Linked DNA regions of Lepisosteus oculatus. The main gene of each other region encodes a partner of the protein of the gene in region 2 in a complex. Links are inferred from orthologs where the notes say so. Each region holds a gene or a part of one and is shown on either strand. Other genes may lie near its edges.

Region 1 (7,742 bases), on a different chromosome or scaffold from region 2:
CAAGAAACTGCAAAACTGAAATTCTGTTTGTCCTACACAGGAGTCTCAGAACACCATCCTCACATCATCTCCCTCAGTCAGACTCACAAGGTGGAGATCAGTCCTGCATCTTCATCCGAAAGGAAGAACGGCCTGGAATTCACGGATGCACTCATGGATATAATCTCGGCAAGCACGCAAATCCTCGCACAAGCCTTTCACTCGCTCACACACAGATGCACATAACTGTCTCTCTCACATACACTCCTGCAGTATTTTCTACACTTTTAGATTTAGATGAAAAGCCATTTGGTTTATTGAAACCCCAGTTTTAATGGTGGGTCACCCCCACTTTGTCCGTTCATCAGGAGTTACTATCTTTGCATGCACACAGAGGAAATGGAACAGCGAATCCCAGGAAGACTATCTTACCGGTAAAATCACTTCAAAGTGATGAATAAAAAATGAATCCATCTGACTGAATAGCAAACTAAAGTGCTCTATTTAAAACTCATTCTTTTCCTTTGTCTTCTCTTTTCCCGTCTCCTTTTTACAACATCAAGGATGAGTCCTGCACCTCCATCCACTCATTTATTCCATCCACTTCAGGGCCGTTGGAGAGCCAGAGCTGGCAAGCAACAGGCACAGGGCAGGACACACACAGATTCACACTCACACCAGGCCCAATTACCCCAAAATGCCAGTTAAGCTGCCAGTATGTTTTTGGACTGTGTGACATGAATATGGAGAAAACATACAAACTCCACCCAGACAGCACCCCAGGTCTGGAACTGGACCCAGGGACCCAGCCCTGTGAGGCAGCAGTGCTAACTCCATCTGATCCTATGTGCTCCCAGAACAGGCTCTGGGTTGCTGCTATCCTCATCAGCAGTCTCCAGATAATGGCAGGATGGATGATATTTGGTTTATTAGCTGAGTAAGTAAGCTCAGTAAAATGTCCCTTGAAAGAAGGATGCATTAAATGTAATAGACAGCAAGCATAACAACACAGTCAGTGATAATTGATGAATGCAATTTATGCTGACATTCATGTATAAATAGCAACACAGCGCTCTTTGATTTGAATACAAGGGACAGCTTCAGCGGTGTTATGAACACGCGCTCCTCTTTCTTCACTCTTATTTGTCTGCTAGCACGCTGGCCCAGTTTTATGCACAATCATTTCGTTTCATCACACTTTGGAGGAGACGGTCGACGGTATGCGTCTCACGTCTGCACCCGAATCAGTGCTGTATCGAGGCGCTCCCCTATTCTTTGCATGCTCATTTGCATGTAAATGTCTCAGTGTTTGCAATGAGCGAAGAGGGTGTGAGCTGGTCTTTGCAGGGGGTTGCAGTACTTCACATTTGCAGAACTCAGGAAGCAGATGAAATGCAGATGTCTGTGTTTTGCTCTTTATTTTTTAGATACTCGATAGTCTTCAAAAAATATGTAATGCACTGTGATGTTTTGCAATTCAGGAGTTTCATATGATTCCTTTACCCAATCCCACACCCCACAAAATGAAGGCGGAGGGTACTTTTAGAGGCATCAACTGCTACCAGCAGCAGAGATGAATATTGTCTTTTACTTTTGTTGCTTATTTTGAAACATGATTCTCAGCAGATCCTTTGAAGCTTGGTATTGCATAAAAGTATGGATGCTTTTATTCTATGTCTCAAGTCATTGTGCAACCCGCGAATACTTGAGATAGAAGAAAACTGGCTAAATTGAGTTTACCTCATAGTACAGGGATGAGCATTCCTGGTGCTGGAGGGCAGGTGTCCATCCCAGCTCCTAAATCAGCTCATTATTAGTTTATCCAGTTTAACTGCTTCTTCCAGTTCATCAGCTGCTTTGAAAAGACCTAGAAATCCTGCAGACAGACTGGCCCTCCAGCACCAGGAGAGCCCACCCCTGATATATTAAGATAGTGTAAGTGAACTTTGTCTCAGGGATGAGTCAACACCTTCATGGACCATCATAGGGAGATATTGGGCTACTCTGGAAAATGTCACCATCATTTGCAGACATTAATAATAATTGCTTACACTTATATAGCGCTTTTCTGGACACTCCACTCAAAGCGCTGTACAGGTAATAAGGATGTGTAGTTTTGGGGTGAAGACATCTGTTTGCAATTTTAGAGAGATTTTTTTTAAATCAGGGTGATGCTTTAGAATTCAATGCACAAGAAAGCACACAATTCAGAATGACCTTGTGTCCATTAAATCCTTCAGCAGCGACACTGTGATCTCTGAAAAGCCCGAGATGAAACAGTGGCAGACGTCACTGCAAAATAGGCATCTGTGTGCATACGTGCACAGACGCAGATCAAGGACTTCTCATTAAAACGCTTCTGTTAAACATTCAGGTGACCTGGAGTGAGCCTTTGCTGTGTGTGTTGGCACGCCGCTGGTTGTGATGGCTTTTCCTCTGTAAATAAACGAGCAGCGCTGGAGGAGAGAGACTGTGGTTGCACAGCGGACTGATAAGGGGCTTCAGAGAAGGGTGTTATGCTAATTTGAGGGGAAGAGGATGATATATTTCAAAGGCTTTGTTGCTGCTTTGCCGGGCTGGCTGTCTAATCCCACGCGTTTCTGTGTGCTGTTGTATCTCGACAGTGCTACACAGAGCACACGCACACACATGACAGGGGCTTTAATTAGAAACTGCGCCATTCCACCAGCCCGTGCTGGAGGAGGCGGCGGTGGTCCTGCATGTCCCCAGGAGACACGCCGTGCGCCCACACCTGGCCACTACCGGCTCTGCCCCAGCCGCCCTGCGAGCGAGCCCTCCGGCACCCCCAGTCCCAGCATACCTGAGAGCCACACAGTGTCCCCCCCTCACGCTGCCCCCCTCCAGAGAGACACACGGAGCCTGGAGTGCTCTAGTTCTTTGAGATATGTGTGTTACCACCACCCCCCTGTACCACAATGCCCCCCCCCTCCGAGAATATGAAAGGCTGGCACCAGCTAAGACAGGAGTTAGTGTTCAAAAATAGCTCTGCTTGGAAGACAGCGAGCGTGGTGGTGAGCAGTATGGCCTCTTTCTGTAATAACCCAGACTGCTTCGCCTTCTCCAGAGCAGTAGACAGCCGCCACACGCTTCCTGTCCGTTCAAGTCTCCTGCTAACATGACTCCCCCGCGGGGGAACGTTCTTACACACAGGCCCGAAGTTTGGTCTTCGGCGGCCCTCGGCACTTTCACTCCGAAACGGGCAAAAAGAAGGGTCAACGCCAATTGAATGACGTCGGCTGACATGACGCACTCCAGACTCTTGTACTGCTACGCCGCGAGGATGGAGCGAGACGAGCGACCATCGCTTCGATACTTCTAGTTTCTAGAACAGCCGCTAGAGAGCGTGTTGTTCTTGACTGGGCGCACCTAGAGTCGACCGCAAAACCTGTTGTTGTCCACTCGTTTTTCGTGGGTCACTAGTGCTTCCCTCCCAGTCCCACGGGAGAAAATGCTGGAATCTCGGGAAGGAGATGGGTGCCCGCTGGAACGTTTTCCCAAAGCACTTTTCCCAAGCTGTTGTACAAATTGAGTTGAATTTTTTCTCTCTGGTTATTTACGGTAATGTCGAGTCACTCCGTTATGCCAGAGTCCGGTCCGCTGCCGTGGAGTGTGCAGGATCGTGGGTATATTCCTCCCACTATCGCGCAGAGAGACGAGAACAGCCCATAGAGGCTGATCAAAGCAGCGCTGTCAAAGACCTCGCCCCTAACCCCCTCCTTGACTGGAGATGCACGGGACCGAATACAACCTGCTGAGGCAACGAGCTTGTATGGAGTGACCGACCGCTGTCTGCACCGCGCCATGCTTAAAACAAAATTGCTAAGAGCGCGTCAAGAGGCTGTCTGGTCGAGCAGTTCAGCGGGGGGTTAGACTAGGAATAAACCTATTACTTGTTCCTGGGCAGTTCAGAAGGCGCCGTTTGCGTGCGCACACCTGTAATTCTCGTTCAATAGTTTCTATAGTTAGCGCGCGACTGAGTCATCGGGCACATTAAAGCGCCCCTCCGCGCGGGGGGGGGGGGGGGGGGGCGTGCTGGCGCGCGAGGCGCGTTGCTAGTAACGCCTGGGGTGCGATCAGATCCTCTCCGGAGGCACGTTTGGAGCTGCTGCTGGGGGTCTTCCTCACGGGAAAGGTGGTGAAGTTCACGCTCGGGTCTAGTAGGGCTGTTTTCATGCTGTAAAGGTGGGCATTAGGAATTATTACTTTGGCAAAGGCCGTTCTGCAGCTCACTGAGAACAAAATGTGATCAAGCCGAAGACGGTTTCTCTCTCTTTTTTTTAATGGGCAAGGTCATTAAATATCACGAGTCTTACATGACGTGCGAGTTTCTCCTAAAGCGGGTTTTCGAGATGAGGGTTGTACGTCGGTGTTCACGCCCCTGAAAACCATTTGATCATTCGCCGATAGGAAATTCATTTCCCATTCTCTGGGATGCAGTCCGCAACACGCGGCAATGCTGCCTGGCTTGATTCTTGCGCTCCTGTGTGTGTAGATCCATTTGGTTAAGGACCCGTTGTCTATCAGCGTTGTCTTACCAGGCCCTTTGACTTTGAAAGTGTAGTATGTTGTTTCTGCAGTTCGTATTGGTGCCAAAATGCATTTAATTTCAATAATGATAATCAACCGTGCGTACGAATGTTTGCACAAACAAGGAAGTCATATTTTTTATTTGTGATTCTCCTATTACTGTCACAATATTCTTTCTAGAACAGAGCACGTCTCCTTTTCTTGGGGCCACCTTAAATGGGTACCAAAACATCTACCTGTGCCCAGAGACACGCCCCGGCGCGGCGACGTCACACACAGCGGCCAATCACCGTGCGGACGGCGGTCGATATTAGCATATCAAAGAGAACCCCGCTCCAATCACAGAGCCGCGGAAGCGTGGTCGGGCATTCTATTAAATCAAACTTGTAGCAAAGGCGCGTGTGAGGCTGCAGATCTGGCGTGCTCCACCAGTACAGCACCTGGGCTAGATTAAGGGCGAACTGCAAAGTCGATAGCGCCACCGAGGCCAGTATATCTGAGAGCGCTGGAATTAAAAGCACTGATCTGACTGAGTCGCAGGACAGGCGCACTTCACTGGGATTCAGACCACTGCGGCTTGGTTTTCTTGTGTTTCTGAAAAAGAGAGTTGCTACCAGTGTTACTATCCTCTGCGGTGTGTACGTTTCAATGCATGGGGGCTACATAACACCAAAGGCAATGCTGACGCGTGTGGCAGTTTGCAAAAAGTGACTGCCGCGCAAGAAACTGAAAAAATAATTGATTTTTAAAAACAATATATATATATACGAGCATCGCTAACCTGAACAGAACGAAATGGTACATTAAGTGAAAGAGACAATACGGTATAAGCCGTAATTCAGTAGTATTGTCATTCCCTGCGAAGAGAATCGTCAATATGCTTTGCGAATAAAAAGGAGGATTTGACCCACTTGCACTCAGCAGGCTCAGCCGGATACCGCTTCCTGACTGACTCGCTCGCGGGCGCGGCACGAGCCGGGCCGCCGGCCAGCCTCCAGCGCGAGCGCGGCGCAGAACCGTCCGGGACGCGAGCAGCGAGAGCCGGGACCCCGGAGCGATGACGGAGAACAACGAGAAGGAGAACGAGCCCCAGAACCGGGATCTCCAGCGCTCCCCCGGCACCGTGTCGGTCCAGCCCGAGTCCAAGGTAAGACCTGCCCCTCCCGCCGCCGCCGCCGCCCCCCAGGGCGAGACGCGGACAGGTTCTGATCACCTGTCGAAGCCCGATAATAGGCCACTGTCGCCAGAAGGCGTATGACACAAGCGACACGACCCCGGTGAGAATGCATGACCCCCCTTGTCTTTATGGTCGTGACACATCCAAGTCATCTTTGTGACCAGCTTTTGTCGGTTGTTTTTTTTTGGTATAGGCTCTGTAAATATGGCGTCCTGTAAAATGACATTTGTCCGATTTGAAACGGGAGAATAAAACTTGATGAGTGGACCTCAGATAGCGGGTTTCTATAATTATTGTTTTAGAAGGGTGTCTTGATAGGAATGTAAATGAGAGATTAACACTTAAACCTGCATCTACGCCTTTGCTGGCGTTCCCCGGATGACATCAGTTGCGGGCTGTTCTGACTGGAGTGGACCTCTCTGGTTCTAACAGTCTGTGAACAGCGCGGGTTTCGAAGCAGCAGAGCGTGCCTCGCGGACTCAGGTGGCCCGGCATACCTGTCACGGTGCTCATGCAATATTGTCTGAGTCCTGTCCATGCAAAAGCCTTTTAAAGTAAAGGTTTTAAAGTCTTTCCACGGGAACTGGAATCCGTCGGCGATACCGTGCCTAGAACATATTAGCAGACAGGTAGAGCGATAATCTTGTCGAAGGAGTGAAGTCGCGGTAACACATTGGCAGGTGAACTGTCGCTGGCGGTGATCCGTGCTGTCAGATCACAGCGGCGAGGAATGAATCTGAAGGCTTCCGAATACTCCCACTGGGATACAGACTATCATGCCTATTTGATTGAGATTCTACTCAAATATGTTTTATTTTATTTTCGCCTTCTCATTTTCTCTTAAATTGCACGCCCGTGGCAGGGTATTAAGAGGCACCGCAGACCTCTAGCGTTATTAAGAGAAACGTGTCTTTTGGAAGTCTGTGTATAAATTCTAGTGGTTTGTGGGCTGGGCTCATTCAGGCGGAACCCGGGGAGTTCAGGTGTGCCCCGTGTCTTTCTCGGGAGTCCTGGTTTGTAAAACACACCGCTGATTCCCCAGTACAGGTCAATGTAGATATTGTAACATGCAACCGAAAATAGTATCAGTCGTCTTTTTCAGACCTGAAGTATTAGACTACTCTGTGGTTGGATAAATATATTTTGACGTTAAATTCCACAGCTACTCAGTCGATTGTCAGTGTATTGGGGTCACGATGTTCTTATACCGAAAGGTACAGTATAACTTCACGAAACGATTCCTTGTTATGGAATAATACTGTTTTCCTCTGTAGCCATGTGCGTCACTGTATAACTGAACTGACTTTCCCAGGTAATGACATTCTGTTCCGTTAAAGCCTGTATCTTCGAAACGTCGCTACACTCAGGAAGCAGTGAGTAATTCTCCTCCAGCGTGGAGAGCTGCCTGTCATTTGAAATAAACGAGCTCGGGCTAGATATTTATACCGTTTCCCTTGACATCTATATTTTAATCCTCACGACACAGGACGTCAGACAGCAGCTCGCTGACGTCAAAGAAAGGTCTCTTCCTTGACGTATGAACTACGCTGGATCTTTGAGCTGCCCCCAGCTCATTGGGAGTGCTGTGACTTCTTTGTTTGAATGAGCGCATAGGAGGGGTCATCGGCTGAATTGACCTCTATGGACCGGGCTGGCAGACCACGAGCAGCACGCGCGCCGGAAGCGATGGGGCCTCGGCACAATCCAAGATTAGTGTGGATGGGGGTCTGTTAAATGACCGCGAATTACTGTGGGGTCTGTGTGATCGCCACGAAACTACAACACCTGGGCGTGCACGCGTGCTCTTCTGTCACCGATTCACTCTGCGCGCCCAGCCTCGTCTCCTGCGCGTCATTGCGCCTGCGGGCGGGGCTGTGTTGTTCATCTGGTAGTGGAGCCAGACAAGGCGCTATATTCCGGGGAACGCAAGCACCTGACACGCTGCTTTTGAACTGCGCAAACCTGCACAGACTGAGCAAAAAAAAAGAACGAGACCGGGGCGCTATATCTCGGGAACGAAAGCGACAACAACACTGCT
Region 2 (7,914 bases):
CAGATCAGTAAGAGGAATGAAGGTCAATTTCACTGATGTGATGTATCTTGCAATGAGGATCCAAATAAACTGCTTTAGGTGTTGGCAGGAGAGCATTTAAACATTCCTTTAGCAGAATAAAATATACATAAAGGAATTTTAGGAAACACTATTAACTTATTAACTGATCTTTTGCACCTTCACTGGGGGTTTCAGTGAGATCAAGACATTCTATGACTGTCTGCCTGCATTTTGCAGCCCCTCATCACCTCTTCTGCCACCACAGAGATGAATGCCAGCTTCTCTCATGCCTTAATGGAGCGCAGACCCGGCATGATGCCAGGGAGCTGTGTGCAATATGGCATAGCGCCCCCTGGTGGTCACTCACACTCAGAGCACCACCACCACGCCCACCACCGCTGCCACCCCCCTGCTGGACCCGGAGACACTCTTGCTCATGTGCCCTTCCTTCTGTACCCGGCCAACATGGACCCCAGCTACTATGAGGCGTCCTACGGGGGTGCCTTGTTCCCCTACGTGCCTTTCCACGGACACTTCGGGGTGTACGACTGCCCCTTCGAGCCCGCCTTCATCCAGAAGCGCAACGAGCGCGAGAGGCAGCGCGTCAAGTGCGTCAATGAGGGCTATGCCAGGCTGAGGGACCACCTGCCCGGCGCCGTGTCCGAGAAGCGGCTGAGCAAGGTGGAGACGCTGCGGGCCGCCATCCGCTACATCAAGTACCTGCAGGATCTGGTGAGCCGGGGGGCCCAGGCGGGCGCCGAAGCAGAGGAGAGGAGCGGCAAGGGCCCCAGAAATGCCACTCCCACCCCGGCCGAGGCAGGCGTCAAGAGGGACTGCAACAGCGACGGGGAATCCCAGAATTCCTCCTCCTCCGACTCTCCGTACTGCGAGTCCGAGGAGTCGCTGAGCTAGAGAGGGCCGGGCCCTGACTGCAGGCTTGAGGCCTGAAGGCGGAGTAGGGGGAGAACAGGCCCGCCTGAAGCTGCTAGAGACGAACCAGCTCTGACTGTGGCGGGATGCAGACCGACAAGCCATAACACGGGCAGAGGGATAAAACTACCACAAATTAATGAGGGTTTCCTAATCCTGTTCCTGGAGTGTCCCTCTCACTCCTGGTTTTTGATCCAACCGATTTCTTAATTAGATAAAGTAGTTGAACATAAATCAATCATCCGCTTGATTTTAACTGTTTTTGATGCCCATCTTGATTTGAGAAATACTCTCCTTTCTGTGTATTATTTCCATGAAATGTGGCAAATGTGATACGTCAACAATTTAGAATTACTGCTCAACCACAGTGGTCTAAATAACTCCTGATAGATGAGCAATTAAAGATATACAGAAACAAGTGGCAATGACACTCTCTCATTGTAACCATTCTTAGCGATGTGTCGACTCTGTTTGAATGCCAGCTGGTCAGGACCTCTACAGGAGGGGCTCATGCTACCTTTTAACCCCCAGCTATGATGCAGGGAGTGGCATGCTCAAGGGGGAAACCTTTGGGCTCATGAGTGGCAGGCTGTTGGTTTGAGTCCCCACATGACACCCTGCTGTTCTAGAGAGGTGAGTGTTGCTGGGGCTGATCCCTGCAACAGACCAGCATCCCTTCTCGGTGGGTGGGTCCTAACTAGTCCATGACGTTGTGGAAACCAGGATGAGCACTGGACCAATGAATGAGCAGCTCTGGTAAGGTCTTTATCCTTGTCAATCGTCTAACTAAAGGTTCAGCACATTGACAACCAAAACAAAAGTCAGGGTACTCTGATTTTAAAAATCCCAATGAGGCTGGCATCATCCACCACACAGAACCAGAAGCTATCAAGTTCTTGAGCATCACAACCCACTCCAAGATCTATGTGAGTCATGGAAGGCACGTCCATTCGATATTTCAATAGATCAGTGTAATCCCGAGGTTCAGACAACATGGACTGTGGACATCACTGGTTTCAAATTTCTTCTCACATTTCAGTTTAATACAGCACCCCAGACAACTGGATTGCAAAAGTCAAGGCTGACTTCAGAGACTTTGTGGGCCACAGGTTTTTTGGTCATTCCATTCATAACAGTCCCTGAGCGATATTGAAAGCTAAAACATTTTAGGAAGCAGAAGTATTTCAACTGTAGTTTTTAACACTGCTCATAGTGTCTTAGGGGTGGAGAGATCATGACTGAAGGTAAGTTTAGGTAAGACATGAAGGGAAAAATTAAATCACACATCTGTCATAAATCTAAAAACCATTTACAGCCTTTCTGTAGTGCTTGATGATGTCTCCAAACTACTTTAATGAACTGCATTGAACCTTTTCCTGCAGACTGTATTTGCTGAGCTGTAAAAAACATGACACTGTGTTCTTATACGTTTCTGAAAAAAAATGTAATTTTACTTGAAATTACCCAATTTAGTTTTCTTAGGAAAGAGTTTTAATTTTTGAGCTAGTTTAAGCTCAGAAACACGTATGTATTATAATGCTATGATGTGACAGTTTGTCTATAAGATGATAGACCGTAAACAGTAATTCAGCTGGAACATTTACAGAACCTGGGACAAAACAGAGACTTCCAGAAAGAAATGTAAAGGTGCTTGCCTTTCCTGGCCTTTACAGACATAGTAAGGCGGAATGTGGATCTATAACTGTTGTTCCCAATCCTGGTCCTGGTGACCATACACATCTCCTGGTTTTCATTCCAGCCCACCCGAATTGGATAATAATTGAAGCCTTAGTTGATATACAGTAATCCAAGTCACAAGTTTCAGATTTTAATTCACTTCCAAATATACCTATAATGGTAAGGTAGAATGGTACCTTAATTCATGGTTGATGTTATTGCTAGTGAAATGGTTTTGGAGACTTTCTGTAAATCAAAGTGCGAATCCCCTTCTCAGCAACTGCCCTTGATGTTTCAAGGTCATCTGTGACTGCAAAACCACTGAGGTCTTTCCTGTTTGACCATCCTTACACAGTTCATACCAAATAGCAGGATTAGTGTTGTGTGTGTTTGTGATCATCTTTCAATCTTGATCTTATTGCCATGTTGACAGCACTGTACCACTAGAGCCGTGTGTCAAAGTTTGTTCTTTAAATGACAGTTTGTAACCAGTTTTACTGATACTGCTTTGCACTTTATCCTAGACTCTGTGTAGCACCCTTCAACTTGTAAGAGGCATTAGACCCTAGCCCAACAATGATGTATGATGGAAAACTTTCTAATAAAAAGTAAAAATGAAAACTGTGTGTTTGTGCTTCAAGGAACATTTATTTTATTTTTTTTTTCAAAGAGATGCTTCACCATGATTATAGTTCTTTTAAATATGACTACCATCTTGATATACTGTGTTTAGCTCTTTGATTACTACAGCAATTAATGCATTTTTTGCTACTAATGCATAAGTACATACATATAGTTCTACTGGACACACACTGTTTTTGATCTGTCAGATTTACACAACCTAATTATGTGATGCACAGTTATAAACTCAATCCCAGTTCTGGAGGGAAACTGTTTCTGCAATTTAACACCTTTCCCCAGTTTTTCCTGCTGCTGGACTGCATCTCTCCAGTACTGGAGCAATGAACTTTTGTATAGGCCGTACCTGATTAGTTTAACACTTTTCAAAGATCTTCAGCCACTGGTGGTTTTAGGAATCCTAAGAATGTAGCACTCAGAAACTAGAGCTGTCCCTCTCTAGTGCAGTATCTCTAGTACTGCCTCACTTGCACATCCCTGTGAACCACTAGGTGGAGCCATTGCACAGTCAGAGACTCTTCACCTGCACATTCCACCTGGACCATAAGGACTGTAAGTGAAGTCAGTACCCTGATGTTTCATAAACTGCAAATTTATTTTTTTATATTACCGATGTTAAATGACTGTTCTGCTTATATGAATTTATATAAGCATTCCATTGCACTTAAAAGCATTTCATGCATTTGACAAATAAACTGAACTCTGATTTATGCAACATTTATACTTTCCGAAATAAGACTGAAATAGCATAATACATTGTTAGTTACAGAATGCAACACTGCAGGGAATACCAGCAACACAAGCGTGACCACATGAATTAGTGTTATCATCATTAAGAAATCTGTAGTTTGTTTGGGCTCTGGTTATTATCAGATGGCAGCCAGGCAGTGTCATTAGAAAACTTCTGGTTGAGGCCTCACAGGAGCTCTCAGTGTTGTAGGTTTAATAAATGCATACCTCTATCATTGTTAAAGATTAAAAAATAATTACCGGATTCTATATTGAAGATTAATTTTGTCTAGTTTTGTTGGAACACTTCATCACAAAACCAAGGTTTAAATGACCAACTTTGAAAAAGCTGTAAACTGGATTAGCTGATTTGGGAGTCTTGAAATGGAGCACACGATTTTGGCAAATTTGCAGAACCGTATATTAGCACAGCAGTTTGTTGTGCTCAGGAGGAGTAAATGTTTAAATAAAGCTCCTGAAACTCGCTTCCACGCTTCGTCGCTTCTCGGTGTGCCACCTAAAACTCCCTGCCACCCCACTCTGCTGTCTCGCTAACAGGCCTGTTATAAACACTCCCACCATCTGCACTGTGTCACTGAAGACAGGCATCGAAACGTGCCGTCCCCTCCGCTGCTGCTGTTTAACAGCTCTCAGCATGCCTCCCCTTCTCCTTTCCCCCAGCTCCACTTCCTCCCCCCTCGCCCTCCCGGCTCTGCTCCGAGAGCTCGGAGCTACAAGTGGGATGAGCCGACGACAGCTGCACTTCTTTTTCCTACTTTTCTGCTGCCTCAGGGCCCACAGGCTATTCGGCGGCCCCTGCGCCTCTCTGCCTCCCTGCTCTGCTTACGCTGCCCCATCGCCACCCCACCCACCCCCCACTGCCGAGACATCGCTCACAGTCTATATTTAAACCATGCTGGCCCGGCTCAGGCCGCAGAGGCAACTGCTCCTCCTGCTGCTTTCTGCCTGGTGTAGTTTTACCCTCTGAGAAACCCAGCTCAGCAGAAAGGCACTCCACTCTCCGCTGAGCGAGAGAGAGTGAGAGGGAGAGCAGGCGGAGGCGAGGGGGGGTGTGTGTGTGAGTGTGTGCCTGCTGGTCCCGGGAAGGAAGGAGAAAAATAAAGGAGTGAGGGGGAACAGGCGAACCCGGGCTTACCAGGATTACAGCGGGAAGGATTACTGGGTCCTCGCCTCACACACCGTCACCGTCGGGACACGGCTCTTGGTCTGCCCCCAGGATGGCTACGGCGGAGTCCAACGCGGTGGGACCTGCCGCCTCCATCATCATGGACAGCGAGACCCTGAGGAGAAAGCAGAAGGAGAAACTGAAGAAACTTCAAGCCACCGGCGGCAACCCCCGGCCCCCGCGCTCGCTGTGCTGCCTGACCCTGAAGAACCCCTTCCGCAAAGCCTGCATCAGCATCGTGGAGTGGAAGTATCCTTCGGGGCTCGAGCTCGGCGAGGCGCGTGGACGGCCAGCTCGGGGGCCAGCTGAGCAAAAGAGAGGCCAGCGGCTAAGAGCATGGCCAGCCCTCAAACCGGAATGAAAAGTCAGTAAGTCACTCTGAGGGCAGGAAGCTACAGATTGTTGGTAGTTGGGACTGCTGTCTTTGTCATGTCTTCATTTATGCAACGGGAAACTTTGTGTTTGGCTAGTCAAAGAAAGCAGGGCTGGCTCTCTCTAGCTGTGTTTATGAGGAGCCCTACACCCTTGGATTTAAAAGGGTTGATCAGTTTCTTCACATGGTCATGAGTTGTTTATATGGCGTTGCGCAGATTCAACTTCCCAATAATCTTACAGCAAAGGGCTTTTGTATTAAAGAGAAAAAATAACATGAGACAACGCTGGCTTTTGAATAGTTCATAGTCTATACCTGTATTCCAAGTGCAGTTCATAGACAATTGTTCATATTTTTCCATCTTTAAATGGCTGGATTTGGAACTGTGACCAAAAGAAAGATTCTTCTGTTAAGTAGCTTTTTCCGAAATTTGGTTTGGAAAGTTCGCGATTAATCATGGGACAGGACACCGGCGTTCTCAGTGGAGTTGCTTCTCATTTCTAGATGCAGAGATATTTCTGGATACATTACGACCTACAAGTGTGAGCAGTTTAAAACCAGTCAGGCACAAGGATTATTCATTTGTTAGCACAGGCTTAAGAAAGCAGTTTTGGTTCTGAGAGGTTTTCAGTTTGGCAGTGGGACATGTTTACTGCTTCAAGAGTCTTATGTTAGCGAAGGCGCATAATGTTCCTAAAATGTGAATCGAGACTTGAGACCTTTCTTCTTGTTGGTAAAGATGAAAATTCTAGTTCTTACTCCTGGGTTCACTGATTAATGTCAAAACTTAAAAAAAAAACAATTATATTCACCCTGGGTCAAAGGTTAGGTTAACCCATAGGCACTTCCAGAAACTGAATAATTTTCTAGAAACATCAGAGGAGAGAGCCTTTTGAAAACAGCATTTTTCCAAGATGGGATAATGCGCTTGGCAGCTAGTCAAGGAGCCAAATACGGGAGAAACGTGCTCCCAATGATCGAAGCTGATGATAGAAATTTAGGTGTTTTTTTAATGCATATATATTTAAACGACACAATGATATTCTGGGGCACTGCAGCTGTTGGCTCGCGTCACAGGCTAAAAACAGACACCACTCTCTGCTGGCAGGGGGAATTTTAATTCCAGCACCCCCTTCTGGCTGAAAGGGAGACCAGTTGAGCGGCCCCTGTAGTATGAAAACACTGACACCTGTAGTGGTCCAAATGACTGAGTAACTTGGGAGAGGGCCAAGGTTCCACTACCAAAGCCTTGCAGCGGCAAGGTGTCTTGAACTGTAAATCAGGCGTGATCAAGGTGTCGGCCTCAAAGTGATTCATGGAGCTCCTGCATCCTGCGCATTTGTGCATGTCAGGATGCCTTCAATAGACATCAATTTGGATGGCACAGTTTCACAAAGCATCGTTCCCTATAGTTTACATTGAAATGAAAGTTCAAGACCTTCTGAGTTTGCTTAAGAAAAGCCCCTCTTGTGGCACCGCAGAGATTCGATAGTCATGCCACAAGACAACGACCCATCTCCCCATTACATAATGACTGAAATAGTAGAAATGTCTAAACATCCACCAACAAGAGAACATAAGAAAAGTTACAAATGACGGTTAATCAATTCCACACAATTGACTTAAGAGGTATTGAGTCATAGTCCCACAGACGACAGCACTGCACCAAAGTCAAACACCTTGCAATACAACACAGTAAGCTTGAAGCACCACAGTGATGTGATGGTAAAACCTGCTGCCTCACAGATCTTTGTTCTTTGTTCTTTGTTGGCTTCATTGTTGCCTGGGGGGCTTTTTGTGTGGAGTTCATATGTTCCATCCATGTCCACACAGGTTTTCTCCCACAATCCAAAGCCATGATATTGAGGTTACTATCTCTAACTTTCTCACTTGCTCACATGTGTGTGAGCCTTGCCCCTTGTACCTGCCCTCAGCACAAAGCAGTTACTCATAATGGATGGATAAACTATGTGTCTCAATGCTTAAACTTGTAATGCTATTTAACACTTAACCTCAATGTCTTTAGTAAGTGTTAAGATGTTCTAGAGCTGGGGTCTCAAACTCAATACCTGGAGAGTCTAGTGTCTTCTGGATTTTGTCCCACCCATGTTCTCGGTTACATAATTGGTGTAATTGTTGTATTAGCTACAAAAATGTAATGCTTTTCAACCAGGGTAGGAAGTGTTTTATAAGTAACCTTTAAGCAAAGTGATTGGAGAATTGATAGCTTGCGTAATCAACTGTAAAACACTCTATGAAAAATTTGTATAGGTCCAATTTAGAAATAATTAGGTTAATTGTTTGAATGACTAATTAGATTGGAAAAATCAGAGACCTGAGTTCTAGAGAATCGTCTAGTTTAAGGCAAAAGGCAAACATT

What was found. Proteins that work in one complex are often made in the same cells at the same time.
Region 1: the proteins of voltage-dependent L-type calcium channel subunit alpha-1S (region 2) and SH3 and cysteine-rich domain-containing protein 2 are in contact, whole or in part, in a crystal structure (PDB 6B27), measured with the Homo sapiens proteins. The link is inferred for Lepisosteus oculatus from reciprocal best matches to the Homo sapiens genes CACNA1S and STAC2. Residues at the interface, in NP_000060.2 of Homo sapiens: Glu749, Pro750, Glu751, Ile752, Pro753, Ser755, Pro756, Arg757, Pro758; in NP_945344.1 of Homo sapiens: Tyr301, Lys302, Phe303, Gln306, Glu307, Asp310, Asn326, Asp328, Trp329, Phe340, Pro342, Asn344, Phe345.

Annotation. Positions count from the first base shown.
Region 1 is NC_090723.1:5,904,389-5,912,130, forward strand, and holds the start of SH3 and cysteine-rich domain-containing protein 2, read left to right. Parts: upstream 1-4,673; 5' UTR 4,674-5,584; coding exon 5,585-5,674; intron 5,675-7,224; exon of another isoform or gene 7,225-7,742. UniProt on the Homo sapiens protein: Plays a redundant role in promoting the expression of calcium channel CACNA1S at the cell membrane, and thereby contributes to increased channel activity. Slows down the inactivation rate of the calcium channel CACNA1C.
Region 2 is NC_090700.1:36,990,438-36,998,351, reverse strand, and holds the start of voltage-dependent L-type calcium channel subunit alpha-1S, read left to right. Parts: upstream 1-4,913; 5' UTR 4,914-5,213; coding exon 5,214-5,410; intron 5,411-7,914. Other genes in the region: achaete-scute homolog 5, read left to right, coding at 268-912. UniProt on the Homo sapiens protein: Pore-forming, alpha-1S subunit of the voltage-gated calcium channel that gives rise to L-type calcium currents in skeletal muscle.